3 linked regions of the Ovis aries genome follow. The protein of the gene in region 3 interacts with the protein of the main gene of each other region in a biochemical or structural test. Links are inferred from orthologs where the notes say so. Each region holds a gene or a part of one and is shown on either strand. Other genes may lie near its edges.

Region 1 (3,500 bases), on a different chromosome or scaffold from region 3:
TCAGTTTTCTTACCTGTAAAACGGGGATGATAGTAATAGTAACCTCCTTCTTAGCGTTCTTATTACATGGATTATGAGATAATCCATATAAAGGACTAAGTGATAAATCTGGCACACAGCAGGTGCTCATTAAATGATGGCACTATTAAAGATAATATGTCATAATATTAACAGTCTCCCCCGCCTGAAGTTCAGGGAGGATAGGTGTTCTGGTGAATTCAAGGCTGTCAGAGCACACTATTGCTCTGCCCCGGGTGTTCCCCTCCCCACCCGGGCTCCTGTGGTCCTCACCAGCAGTAAGGTCTGGTTGCAGCCCTGGGCGTAGAGTTCCTCTGGCGAGGGGATGACAACCCCTCAGCTCTGAATATGCTGCCGTCCACTGTCTCCCTGGGTAAGTCTTACCCCAGCAGGTAAGCACAGGTGCTCTGTGATTGGGTCATAGTCAGACTGTGGGTCCACCTGGACCTCAGACTCTGCTTCTTGGACCACAGCTCAGCAAGGAGCGGGTGGGTTCTCCCTGTCTCGTGGCCCAGTCTAACCTGCCCTTGTCCCTTATCACATTCCTGATTTGAGAGTCACTTGCAGACTCCTGATACTCCCAAAGGACAAGGGCGAGGGAGAACCTTTTGAAGGGTTATTAGAGCATTTCAGAGGAGCTTAGAACTTAGTGGTTCCCCAGTCTGGTACCCCCAGACTTACTGGGGCCAGGAGACTTTGAATGGTTTTCTAGAAGTCCACATGATCCCTTAGCGTATCGGCTGGTAGATCAGGGCTGGGGTTGAACAGAAGTTGTCACGGTGGCTCCCAATCAGTTAATAATAATGACAACAAATAGTACTTAGAATTAACAGAGCCTTTGCTATGTGCTGGGGCTTCCTTGGTAGCTCAGCTGGTAAAGAATCCACCTGCAATGCAGGAGACCTGGAGTCTATCCCTGAGTTGGGAAGATTCCTTGTAGAAGGGAAAGGCTACCCATTCCAGTATTCTGGCCTGGAGAATCCCATGGACTGTATAGTCCAGGGGGTCACAAAGAGTCGGATATGACTGAGCGACTTTCACTTTTACTTTTGCTATGTACCTGGCACTTAAAGTAGATTTTATAGATTTCATGCTATTGACTTTTGTAACAATCCCTTAAGGTATGGGTCATCAATCTCATTTCACAGGTAAGAAAACAGATGGAGGTCAAGGAACTTGATCAGAGTTATTTTCTAAGACTTCAAAATTTATTTTGCCTTCCCTCTGATGGACCTTCACCAAAACAGTATTTATTAAGCAGCAACTAATTTGTTCTGGGTGTCTAAGCCAATTGAGTTTACATAATTCCAGCCTGAAGCAAAGAAACATAACCTTTTCGCTTACCTGTGCAGTCTTAAAATAGGTCCATGCACTCATTTTATAAAGATTTTTAAATATGGAAAACAAAAAATACCCCTGATACCCCTGATGGCACCTTCAAGAAGCCGGTACCTCAGGTTGCATGGACCCCAGTTAGAAACCATTGTCCTGAGGGTCAGAAACTACCCCCAGGTTCCCACCCCAGTTCTGTTCCTCTGCTTTCTGCCCAGCACCTAGAGACCTCAGACTGGCCTGGCAAGGGGCAGAGAAGCAGAAGGAAGCTGCAGTGTGGGTGAGGTCCCTGCCATGGCAGCAGACTTCTCAGCCACCAATCTGTGGAGGGAAGGCAGGGGACTCTGGAGGCCTGGACATGGTTTTAGCATCTGAAGAGGGCAAGTCCCCCTGTTGGTTTCCTGTCCCAGCCCCCACCTGGTTCCATGAGTCCCCAAGAGTCCAGAGATCCCCCCCACTCCCTTTGATAGCATTTGTCCCTTCCCTGAATCTCCCCAGCCCCAGCTCTCCCAGCGCCCTTCAGGGTGGTCCCTGGGCCACACGTCCTCATGTCCCATCCATGCAGCGGCCACACCTGCCAGTGATCACTTTTGTGACTATGCAACTGGAGTGAGAATACTAGCTGCAGATCACAAAAATGACGCTGGCAGCCGTGAGAGAGAGAGAAGAGGGAGGAGACAGAGAGGGGAGACAGACAGCAACGGAGAGACAGAGACATGTAGAGAAAGAGAGAGAGGAGCGGGGAGAGAGACAAAGAGAGGCAGAGTAAATAGGCAGAGATGGGAGGGAGGTGGAGGAAACAGCTGAGAGACCGAACAGGGAGGGGTGCAGAGGGGGGAACTGTCGATGGAGTGGGGGAGTGAGAACCATGGGAGAGAGCTGAGGGGGAGAGGGAGGGTGGAGGCGAGAAAAGTGGGAAGGAAGGGAGGGAAAGAGGGAAAGAAATAAAAATAGAGGCAAAGAGACACAGAGGGTAAAGAAGAGGGAAGGCAAGGGTTAGTGAGAGAAAGCAAGGGGACAGCAGACATAGAGACTGGGCACCAGGAAACAGGACAGGAGGAAATAGACAGCAAGGACCAAGGAGGAAGAGAGGAGAGAGGGAGGCGGCTACAAACAAGATGAGCCTTTCAGGGTATAGGGGGGCGGAGGGAGAAGAAGGTTATGGAGGAAGAGTGGGAGATAGAAAAAGAGGCCAAGAGAGAGGGAAGAGGCAGCCAGACAGCAGAGAGAGCAAGCAGTCAGGAGCTGGACCACAGCAGTGGACGGATGGGCACAGCGAGACAGGGCGTCAGTCCTGGTTTGGGGGGTGGTGTCCAGAAGGGGATGCCGGGAGGTCAGAGTCAGTCCTGGTTTGGGGGTGTCTAGAAGGGGGCACCAGCGGACCAGAAGCTGAGGCTCCAGGTCGGGCGAGAGGGCCTGCCTCTCCTGACCAGGGGCCCCAGGAGGAGCTGATGGGCTGCGGGGAGGCTCCAGAGCCCGGCTCCCGGCCCCCTTGCTCCTGGGCTGCTCTCTCCCGGGCTTCTGGGAGCCTTCTTCGGGCCGCCCCACCGCCCAGGGGTGCCCGCTTACCTGCGGAAGTCCAGGAGGGGCCGGGTGGAGGCCGGGGTGCCCTCTGCCGGCCAGCTGAGGAAGTGGAACTGCGTGAGCGTGCGCGTCTCCTGGGTCTGCACGTTCTTCAGGTAGAAGCTCCGCACTAGGAAATCCTCGCACCAGATGTGCTCCGACACCAGGTTCACCTGCGAGAGTGGGGGCGCAGGCCTGAGCGCGGCAGGGCCTCTCCAAATCCTCCCGGCCTCCCAGGACAGTCAAGAAGCTCACTCAACTGTCCCCAGGAACCCTAGCCATCTGTGTCACTTATGGATTGCTCAGGACAACTGGCGGCTTCTCCATCTAGACACAGCGGGAGCCTAGCTCCCCGACTAGGGATCGAACCCGTGCCCCCTGCAGTGGCAGCTCGGATTCTTAACCATTGGGCCCTCCGGGAAGTCCTGTGTGTTTCCTGGAATCAGTTTCTCCTTCCTCTTTTTGCGCAAAGACTAGCACAGTGTCTGTGCTACACACACACCATAAACTTTGATAAAATTTTGTATTTTCATTTGATTTTTTCTTTAACCCCAAGCGGGACCAATTTTTAAAGCTTAAAAAGAAAA
Region 2 (3,500 bases), on a different chromosome or scaffold from region 3:
CCATGGACCTGTGGGGTCAGGGCAGATCTAGGGTGGCCACGTTCGGGCCAAGCCTTGAAGCCAACAGTGGTGAAAACAGGATGCAGCAAAGTAGATTGTGGGGGCTGGAGCAGGTTTGTCTTGGGAGAGGGGGAGGGGGGCAGAGCAGGCGTGCGCCGAGCGTGCTCGTCCCGTCCTCCAGGAGTCGGCGACCTATGGGGAACACATCTGGTTCGAGACCAACGTGTCCGGGGACTTCTGCTACGTCGGAGAGCAGTACTGCGTCGCCAAGATGCTGGTGAGTGAGCGCGGTGCGGCACGCCGCCCCCTGGTGGTGGAGCCGGATCTCGAGCCCTGTAGGCCTGCCCTCCCAGGGGAAGGTGGGAGCGAGGCTCTTGCCTGAGCCGCCCTGCAGGGGGCTGCCCCCTGACAGCCAGAGGGACAGGACTGGGTCCTGAAGCGAGGACAGGGCTCGGCAGTGCTCTCCCAGCGCAGCTGTGCTGGGGCAGGCGTGGGGCGGCACCCGGGCCCGGGTTACCCGATGCCTCAGGGACCTTCTGTTTCCCGCAGCAGAAATCAGTGTCCCGGAGAAAGTGTGCGGCCTGCAAGATTGTGGTCCACACGCCCTGCATCGAGCAGCTCGAGAAGGTGAGCGTGGCTGTTCAGGCTTTCCTGCCCCTCCCCCTTGGGGTGCTGAAGCCCTCACGGCACTCCTACACGGGTCTCTGTACACGCGTGTTCACGTCACACAGACACCACTGGCCAGGGGTGCCTCAGTGTGTGTAGTGGTGAAAAAGCCAAGGACCCAGGGGCTGCAGGGCCTGCATCTGCATCCCGGCTCCTCCTTCATTTGCTGCTGCGTCCCGCTGCCCAGAACAAGCCTGGCACAGAGCGAGGCTCATAAGACTGTTACTATACGAAGTCACAAATGCTGGCTGAGATGCCATTTTATCAGTTCCCAAACTAATAGTTAGAAGGCGCTGAGCCTTCGTACCTCAGCTCTGTCTGGGCCAGTCCTGTGTGGGCCCTGAAGCCCGGCTCTGTCCCCTCCACGGTGCGGCTGTAAAGACCTTTTCCCAGGGACCGTTGTCCACGGAGAGGCTGCAGCTAGGGGCGCGTCTGGGCCCGGCGCTTCTAGGGAGGGAGGGAGAAGGACAGCTGGGTGAGTGGGTCCAGGCCTATGGATTGGGAGGCTGCCGTGGCCCCGCAGGACTCCCCACCAGCAGAAGCCGAGGCCAGTGTAAGAGAAATCCTGTAGGACTAGGGATGGCTTGAACGAGGCTGACGCAGACGGCTTCCCCTCCTCTTCATCTCATACAGTGCAGTTTCCCTAGGGCTGAAGCAGGGGCCCTGAGGCAAAGAGAGTCGCCTGTAGCCCTAGGTCCTGTAGATCCGTCACACCAGCCCCTAAGGTGATAAACCAGGGCTCCACAAATGGGCTGACGGTCTCCAGGGACCAGTCCACAAGCATGGACTGGGTTACCTGCAGGTGCCTAAGTTGGGAGAGCTGGAGAGCGAGGAAGAGTACAGGATGGGTCAGCCTTGCTGCCATTTTAGCGGGGAAGACGGATACAGAACTTGCTGTCTCCCTCATCCCAGAAGACTGGGCAGCGGAAGGGAGCTTCCTTCTGGCTAGTGGAGAGGAGGAGGGATGCTGGAGGGCCTCTGAGAAGAGGTGTCTGGTGTTCTCAGGGCTCCCAGGATGCTGGGGGGCCTCTCCCTCCTTTGTGGGGATGCCTCCCCAGTGACACCTTCTGAAGGGGGTGGCCACGTGCCTGACCCCATGAAGGGCGGTTCTGACGTTTCGGTGGTCACTGCACGTTTCACAGATAAATTTCCGCTGTAAGCCATCCTTCCGTGAATCGGGCTCCAGGAACGTCCGTGAGGTAAGTGCCGGGGGTGGTCAGGGCCCCGGGTTTCCCGAGCGGGACCCTCGGCAGTGACTCCAGAGCGTTGCCGGGCTTCTGCCCATCGCTCAGCCCAGTGCCGCTCCTCTCCTCCGCCAGCCAACCTTCGTGCGGCACCACTGGGTACACCGGCGGCGCCAGGACGGCAAGTGTCGGCACTGCGGGAAGGTGAGGCTGCGCCTGAGCAAGCTGGCCCTGGTCCTGGCGGCCCCGCACGGCCACGTGTGGCCCGTCCGCCCCTGACCGCAGGCGGAGTCCTGGGCCCACTCTCTGGCTGCCACACCCACTCAATCCCAGAACCCCCAGGTCCCTGGGCAGAGCGGGAGAGCAGTGTGTCTGGACCGCTCAGAAGCTGTGAGCAACCCCTTCAAGAAGCATGGAGGCTTTTTCCCTCGCTAGCTCAGCCGATGCACGTTGAGGGCCTGCCGGGTGTGAGCACGGCCTACAGCAGCCCAGGTTTCACTGACCTGTCTTGTCCCCTCCACCCACCGCCCAGTAAGTTCAGGCTCTGAGAGATCTAGGGGCCTTGTCCCTCCTCCCTCCGTCCACCCTGAGTGTCCAGCACGTCCGGCACAGTAGGCCCTGTGATAAACCTGTGTAGGACAAATAGGGAATGACTGTGATGGTTACTGCACAGAGCTTTGAGAGCCTGGGTTGGGAAGGAGGGACTGGAGTTAGGCAGGAGTTATCTATGGACCCCTTTCCAGCAGATGGTGCAGTTAACTTCAGAGACTCAGCCTGGCTCAGCCCCCGTGACTCTAGGGACTCCTTTTATAGTTCTTTTCTTTAAAAAAAAAAAAAAGAGTGCTCAGTTGCCCTGGGTAGAGAGACGTTGGCGGCAGGAAGGGGCTGGGCCTGCTGCTCTGGGCCCAGCCCCGGGGACCCTCAGCACCCTCTGCCCCCTAGGGCTTCCAGCAGAAGTTCACCTTCCACAGCAAGGAGATCGTGGCCATCAGCTGCTCCTGGTGCAAGCAAGCAGTGAGTGCCACTCCCCTGCCGCTGGCTGTCCCGCAGGGCTGCGCGGGTGCGGGCTGCAGGTCTCGCGGGCCCAGCTCAGCCACGCCCCCGCCGCCCCGCCCCTGCAGTACCACAGCAAGGTGTCCTGCTTCATGCTGCAGCAGATCGAGGAGCCGTGCTCCCTGGGGGTCCACGCCGCCGTGGTCATCCCCCCTACCTGGATCCTCCGGGCCCGCAGGCCCCAGGTGAGCCCCACCTGCGCTAGGAAGCCCCAACCCCCGCGACCCCCAGGGTCTGCCGGCCACCCCAGCTCCAACCACCGTGTCACCCACACCTCCACTTCCCTCGCAGAACACCCTCAAAGCCAGCAAGAAGAAAAAGAGAGCATCCTTCAAGAGGAAGTCTAGCAAGAAAGGGCCTGAGGTTAGACTGGGGACCAGGCGGGCAGCCGGAGGGGAACAGGAGAGGGGGGCCTGTTTCTTGGGACACTGAGGCCCGCCCCCCTCGGAGCTCATGATGCGGCCATCGCTGGGTCAGTCTGGGCTCTGGGGCCCCCGAGCAGGGGGAGGGGTCAGGTCCTCCTCTGGGGCCAGGCCCACTGTGAGGTCTGACCCCGCGGTGATACTCACGGGGGCACCCGGGGCATGGAGGACAGGG
Region 3 (4,040 bases):
TACAGCTTTGCTTTGCCTGGGGGTGATAAAGGTTGCCTAAAATTCCCTGCACGCACCACAAAAGGGCATCACTGTGCTATGTTAAACTGTGCTATGTTAAGGTAGTTTTTCAAGTTTTGAGACATCAAATGGAAGGATCATTCAGTTCTAAAACTCTAAGCATAAAAATCTATCTTTTAAAAGTAGCCTTCCTGGATGGGTCACTAGTTCTCAATTTTAAACATTTGACTGATTCTATGAAATCACTGTTTGCAGTGGTTCTGCATATTATAAGCAATTTTATTTTTATATCCTTTGATTTTTAAAGTTCAGTTTCATACCTCTCCACACATATAAGAACAAAAATGTCTTGTCTTTTAGAAAATGGGAAAATAAGGTAGAACCTGTGTTAGGTAAACAAACATTCACTAAATATTATGCTGCCATTTGTAAAGCCTCCTTCTAAAAGCACATGTGGCCTATTTTAGGTTAATGAATACTATGAAGTGTTTACTAGATGATTTTTATTTAAGTGGTATGAATACCACGTTCAAATTATATCTAAACAAAAACTAGATTTAAAAAATATAGATATGGGTTAAGAGCTGAAACATCTGCCCATCACCACTGAGCACCACATAAATAGTACTACAGTCAGTATTCTGGCTCTAAGAATTTATAACCAAATTCTTAGCTAGCACAATTTCAAGACACACATTTATGGCAACTCTTTCTTTTTTTACACACATACAACCCACATCGCCACAATTTATAATTTTACTCCTTTTATTAACACTAATTTCTGAGTAGTGCCTAGCCCCACCTAAGTGAAATATAAATATTTATAAATAGGATATTATAAGGTGGGAGACTGGAATTTCACAATTAGAGCACATTAAAATATTTACTTGGAAACTAACACCTTCCCAAATGTTTACTAGCAGATTTAGGAAAAAGTGAAAATCACTTTGCCAAGCTAGACTTCTGGCCTCTCAGTCAGTTTGATGACTGGCCACTTCCTACCTCCACTCCCCACCCCTTCCCTTCTGTTCTTCCTCTGCCAGGAATACCCTCTTGACTCATCCCTGCCTATGTCCATCACTTCCCTGGAGACCTGGCTCAAGACTCAGCTTCTTGAAAAACTCCTCCCTGATCAAGCTGATTTCCACTACTTCCTAACTTTGCACTCCCTTGGTATTCATATAGTTTGCACTCCACAATCTATAATTTGTAAGTTGTTTTGCATTTTTCTATCATTTTTCCAACTAGACACCAAATAGAGACACATCATCTTTTATATTCTCTTCTGTATTGTCAGCAATAAATGCCTCTTAAATGACTGAATGGGTGAAAGAAGGCTGATCACTCAAAAATTTCTGAAGTAGTATTACCTCCAACATGCATGAGTCCTTCAAGAAGATAAAATTTATTTTGCCTTAGTTCCATAAAAGACTCAGGTAACAGATCACACTCAAACTTAAAAGAATAATCTTGACTATTCAAACGTGACTTGAGATTTAACACTTCAGGCTTCTGAATTTAAGCTTAAAGCCTTGAAGCCTGTGAATGGTAGGAAGCTGGCACCCCGTCTCCTGCAAAAAGGGGCAAAATTCTAGTTGACAGTAAAAGTTCAAACACGTGAGCCTCCACTGTTAAACAAGGCTCATTAACCACACAAACTTGCTGTTTCAGCTTTCTGGCTTCGATGAAGTGCTATGATCTCCTTTGGTTATTGTTGAGAGCCAATGATGGGTTAAATTCCCATAAATTAACCAGCGTTTTGGTGGTCTGCCCAAGCATACCGCTGGCATCGGTGTGGATGAAATTTTTTTTTTTTTTTTTTTTAACAGACCTGCCTGGCCTAAGAAACCAGAGGTGAGTGAAGAAAGCGCCACTCAGGAGGCAAACGGAGACCTTCAGAAGTCCTGTTCTAGTTCTTAGTGTCAGCTTAGCGTGCAGAGGAGGGGCTTCAAGCACGGCTGCTCCAAACTAAAACCTTCCTAGGGGACTGCAAGCCACACTTCGGCGGCAGCCCAACTTTTCCTGCAGGGAGCATCAGTTTTTCCATCTCCAAAGCCCCAGCAACGGGGTTGTGGGGAAGCCTGCCGCCAGCAGAGGGGAAGGTGAGGTCTCCGAGTGGGAGGGAAGGGGCTGGCCCCGCAAAGGGGGCAGGGTGGCAGAACAAAGTGAGCGCCGGCCAGCCCAGCCCAGCGCCGCCCGCCCGCCGGCCCGGCTCACCCTCCAGCAGCACCTCCTTGCCCGCGCGCTTCAGCGCCTGCACGGCCTGGTCGTGGGTGGCCTGGCGCAGGTCGGTGCCGTTCACCGACAGGATGGCGTCGCCCAGCCGCAGCGCCCGGCTCTGGTCGGCCGCCAGTCCCGGGAAGATCTTGGAGATGAGGATCGGCATCCGGTTCTCGCGGCCGCCCTTGATGCTGATGCCCAGGCCGCCCGCCTCCTGCTTCACCACACGGACGCGGCGCACCGGCGGTGACGCGCCCGCCTCGCCCGCAGGGCTCCGCGGCGGCGCGGGTGGACTCGGGGGCCCCAGGCCGCGGCTCGGGCTCCCGGGCAGCGAGTCGCCGGCGCCACCGCCGTTCGGGAGGCCGTTGAAGGCGGCCGCCGCGGGCCCGAGAGCGGGCTCAGACTCAGCCGCCCCGGCGTCGCCCGTCAGGCTCAGGCTCTCCCCGCTCAGCTCGGCCACCACTCGGACCCAGCGCTCCCTCAGGAGCAGCTCCACCAGCCCCGCTTTGGTGGCCCGCGTCCACACCGCCATGGCCGGCCCCACTCCCGCCGCCGCAGTCGCCGCAGCTACCCTCATTCCAGTCAGGCAGCCTCGGCGCTTCCCCCTTCCCGCCCGTGGGGGCGGGTCCGGCCCCGCCCCCGGCGGTGATTCATTATTCATGAGGCCACGCCCACCTTCCGGAGGTGAGGGGAGAGGACAGCCGAGCAGCTTCCGGGAGGTTAAGGAGTTGCCCGAGGTCCAGTGGGTTACAGTTCACCGGACGTGGGCAGCTCGCGTGGTTTGGGCTGTCTCACGTTCTCCCTCGTACGCCTCCGATCTTCCCACTCCCAGCTCCTGACTTCTACCGTGCAACTCGCCAGAGCTGCCTGGGCACAGAGAGTAAAATCAGCTTCGAGAGGCACTTTGCAAGCCTGCAAGACCCAGTTGCAGGTACACTTTTGCATTGATTGGTTTACAGAACGCTCCGCCAAGTGTGCTCCTTTTTGAGGCCTGGAGATGAGATGAATAAAATGCACCACAGCTGAGAGCTGAGAGTCTAGTTGGGGAGGAAAACAAAGAGAATCAGCTAACCTGATGTTATAGTATGTGGTGAGTGTCAAGTACAAAATGCCCTGTGAGCAGATGAGAACATTTAGTTGGGTCTGGGGTCAGCTTTATAGAGGTGACAATGAAACTCAAAAGTCAGAGCATTTGTCACTCTGCTTTGTAATCCCCTGTTTACTTGCCAGTAATGTCAGAGGAAAAATATCTTTAGCCCCGCAGTCACGATAGGTAGGTCTCAAAGATATCCGTAAAATGATGGTTACTTAGGGAGATGCCAGAATCCAATGTCAAGAGAGGATAGGGTCAGTGGCAACGACAGTATACGAGTGTAAAACGCCGAATATAACCACATATTTGGAAGTGTTTGGACTTGAATTTGTAGATCTGACTTTCTCACCCTGGAGGCCATGGCCTTATGTTAGGGCAAGTGCACATGGGCCTCCCCAGAAACACTGCACAATGTAGGGCCTGCAGCGGTTTTTATCCAAAGATACAGGTGATACAATCCACTGGCTTCTTACAGTTTCATGGGCTTGAAGAGCAGAAAGTAACACATTGTAAAGCAATTATACTCAAAGGAAAAAAAGACACTGCTTTAGTAGAATGGGGAGAATAAATCAGCTATCTCACCTTAAAATTACACAATAAAAGAAGAGCTGAGGAAACTGAGACCCAGAAAGTCAAAGATTCTGGCCCAAAGCTCACAGTGAAGAAAGACAACTCACGTCTCCCACCCTCCTGGTCCAGTGCTTTTTTTTTAAAAAAAACAAACAAA

Evidence for each region.
Region 1: the proteins of SNTB2 (region 3) and PTPRN form a complex in vitro, tested with the Homo sapiens proteins (2 studies listed by BioGRID and IntAct). The link is inferred for Ovis aries from reciprocal best matches to the Homo sapiens genes SNTB2 and PTPRN.
Region 2: the proteins of SNTB2 (region 3) and DGKZ form a complex in vitro, tested with the Homo sapiens proteins (2 studies listed by BioGRID and IntAct, with this or other methods). The link is inferred for Ovis aries from reciprocal best matches to the Homo sapiens genes SNTB2 and DGKZ.

What each region holds. Positions count from the first base shown.
Region 1 is NC_056055.1:221,238,996-221,242,495, forward strand, and holds part of PTPRN (receptor-type tyrosine-protein phosphatase-like N), read right to left. Parts: intron 3,087-3,500; coding exon 2,920-3,086; intron 1-2,919. UniProt on the Homo sapiens protein: Plays a role in vesicle-mediated secretory processes. Required for normal accumulation of secretory vesicles in hippocampus, pituitary and pancreatic islets.
Region 2 is NC_056068.1:75,295,872-75,299,371, forward strand, and holds part of DGKZ (diacylglycerol kinase zeta), read left to right. Parts: intron 1-181; coding exon 182-277; intron 278-549; coding exon 550-627; intron 628-1,808; coding exon 1,809-1,865; intron 1,866-1,985; coding exon 1,986-2,054; intron 2,055-2,792; coding exon 2,793-2,864; intron 2,865-2,971; coding exon 2,972-3,088; intron 3,089-3,194; coding exon 3,195-3,266; intron 3,267-3,500. UniProt on the Homo sapiens protein: Diacylglycerol kinase that converts diacylglycerol/DAG into phosphatidic acid/phosphatidate/PA and regulates the respective levels of these two bioactive lipids.
Region 3 is NC_056067.1:35,945,380-35,949,419, reverse strand, and holds the start of SNTB2 (beta-2-syntrophin), read right to left. Parts: upstream 2,801-4,040; 5' UTR 2,798-2,800; coding exon 2,218-2,797; intron 1-2,217. UniProt on the Homo sapiens protein: Adapter protein that binds to and probably organizes the subcellular localization of a variety of membrane proteins. May link various receptors to the actin cytoskeleton and the dystrophin glycoprotein complex.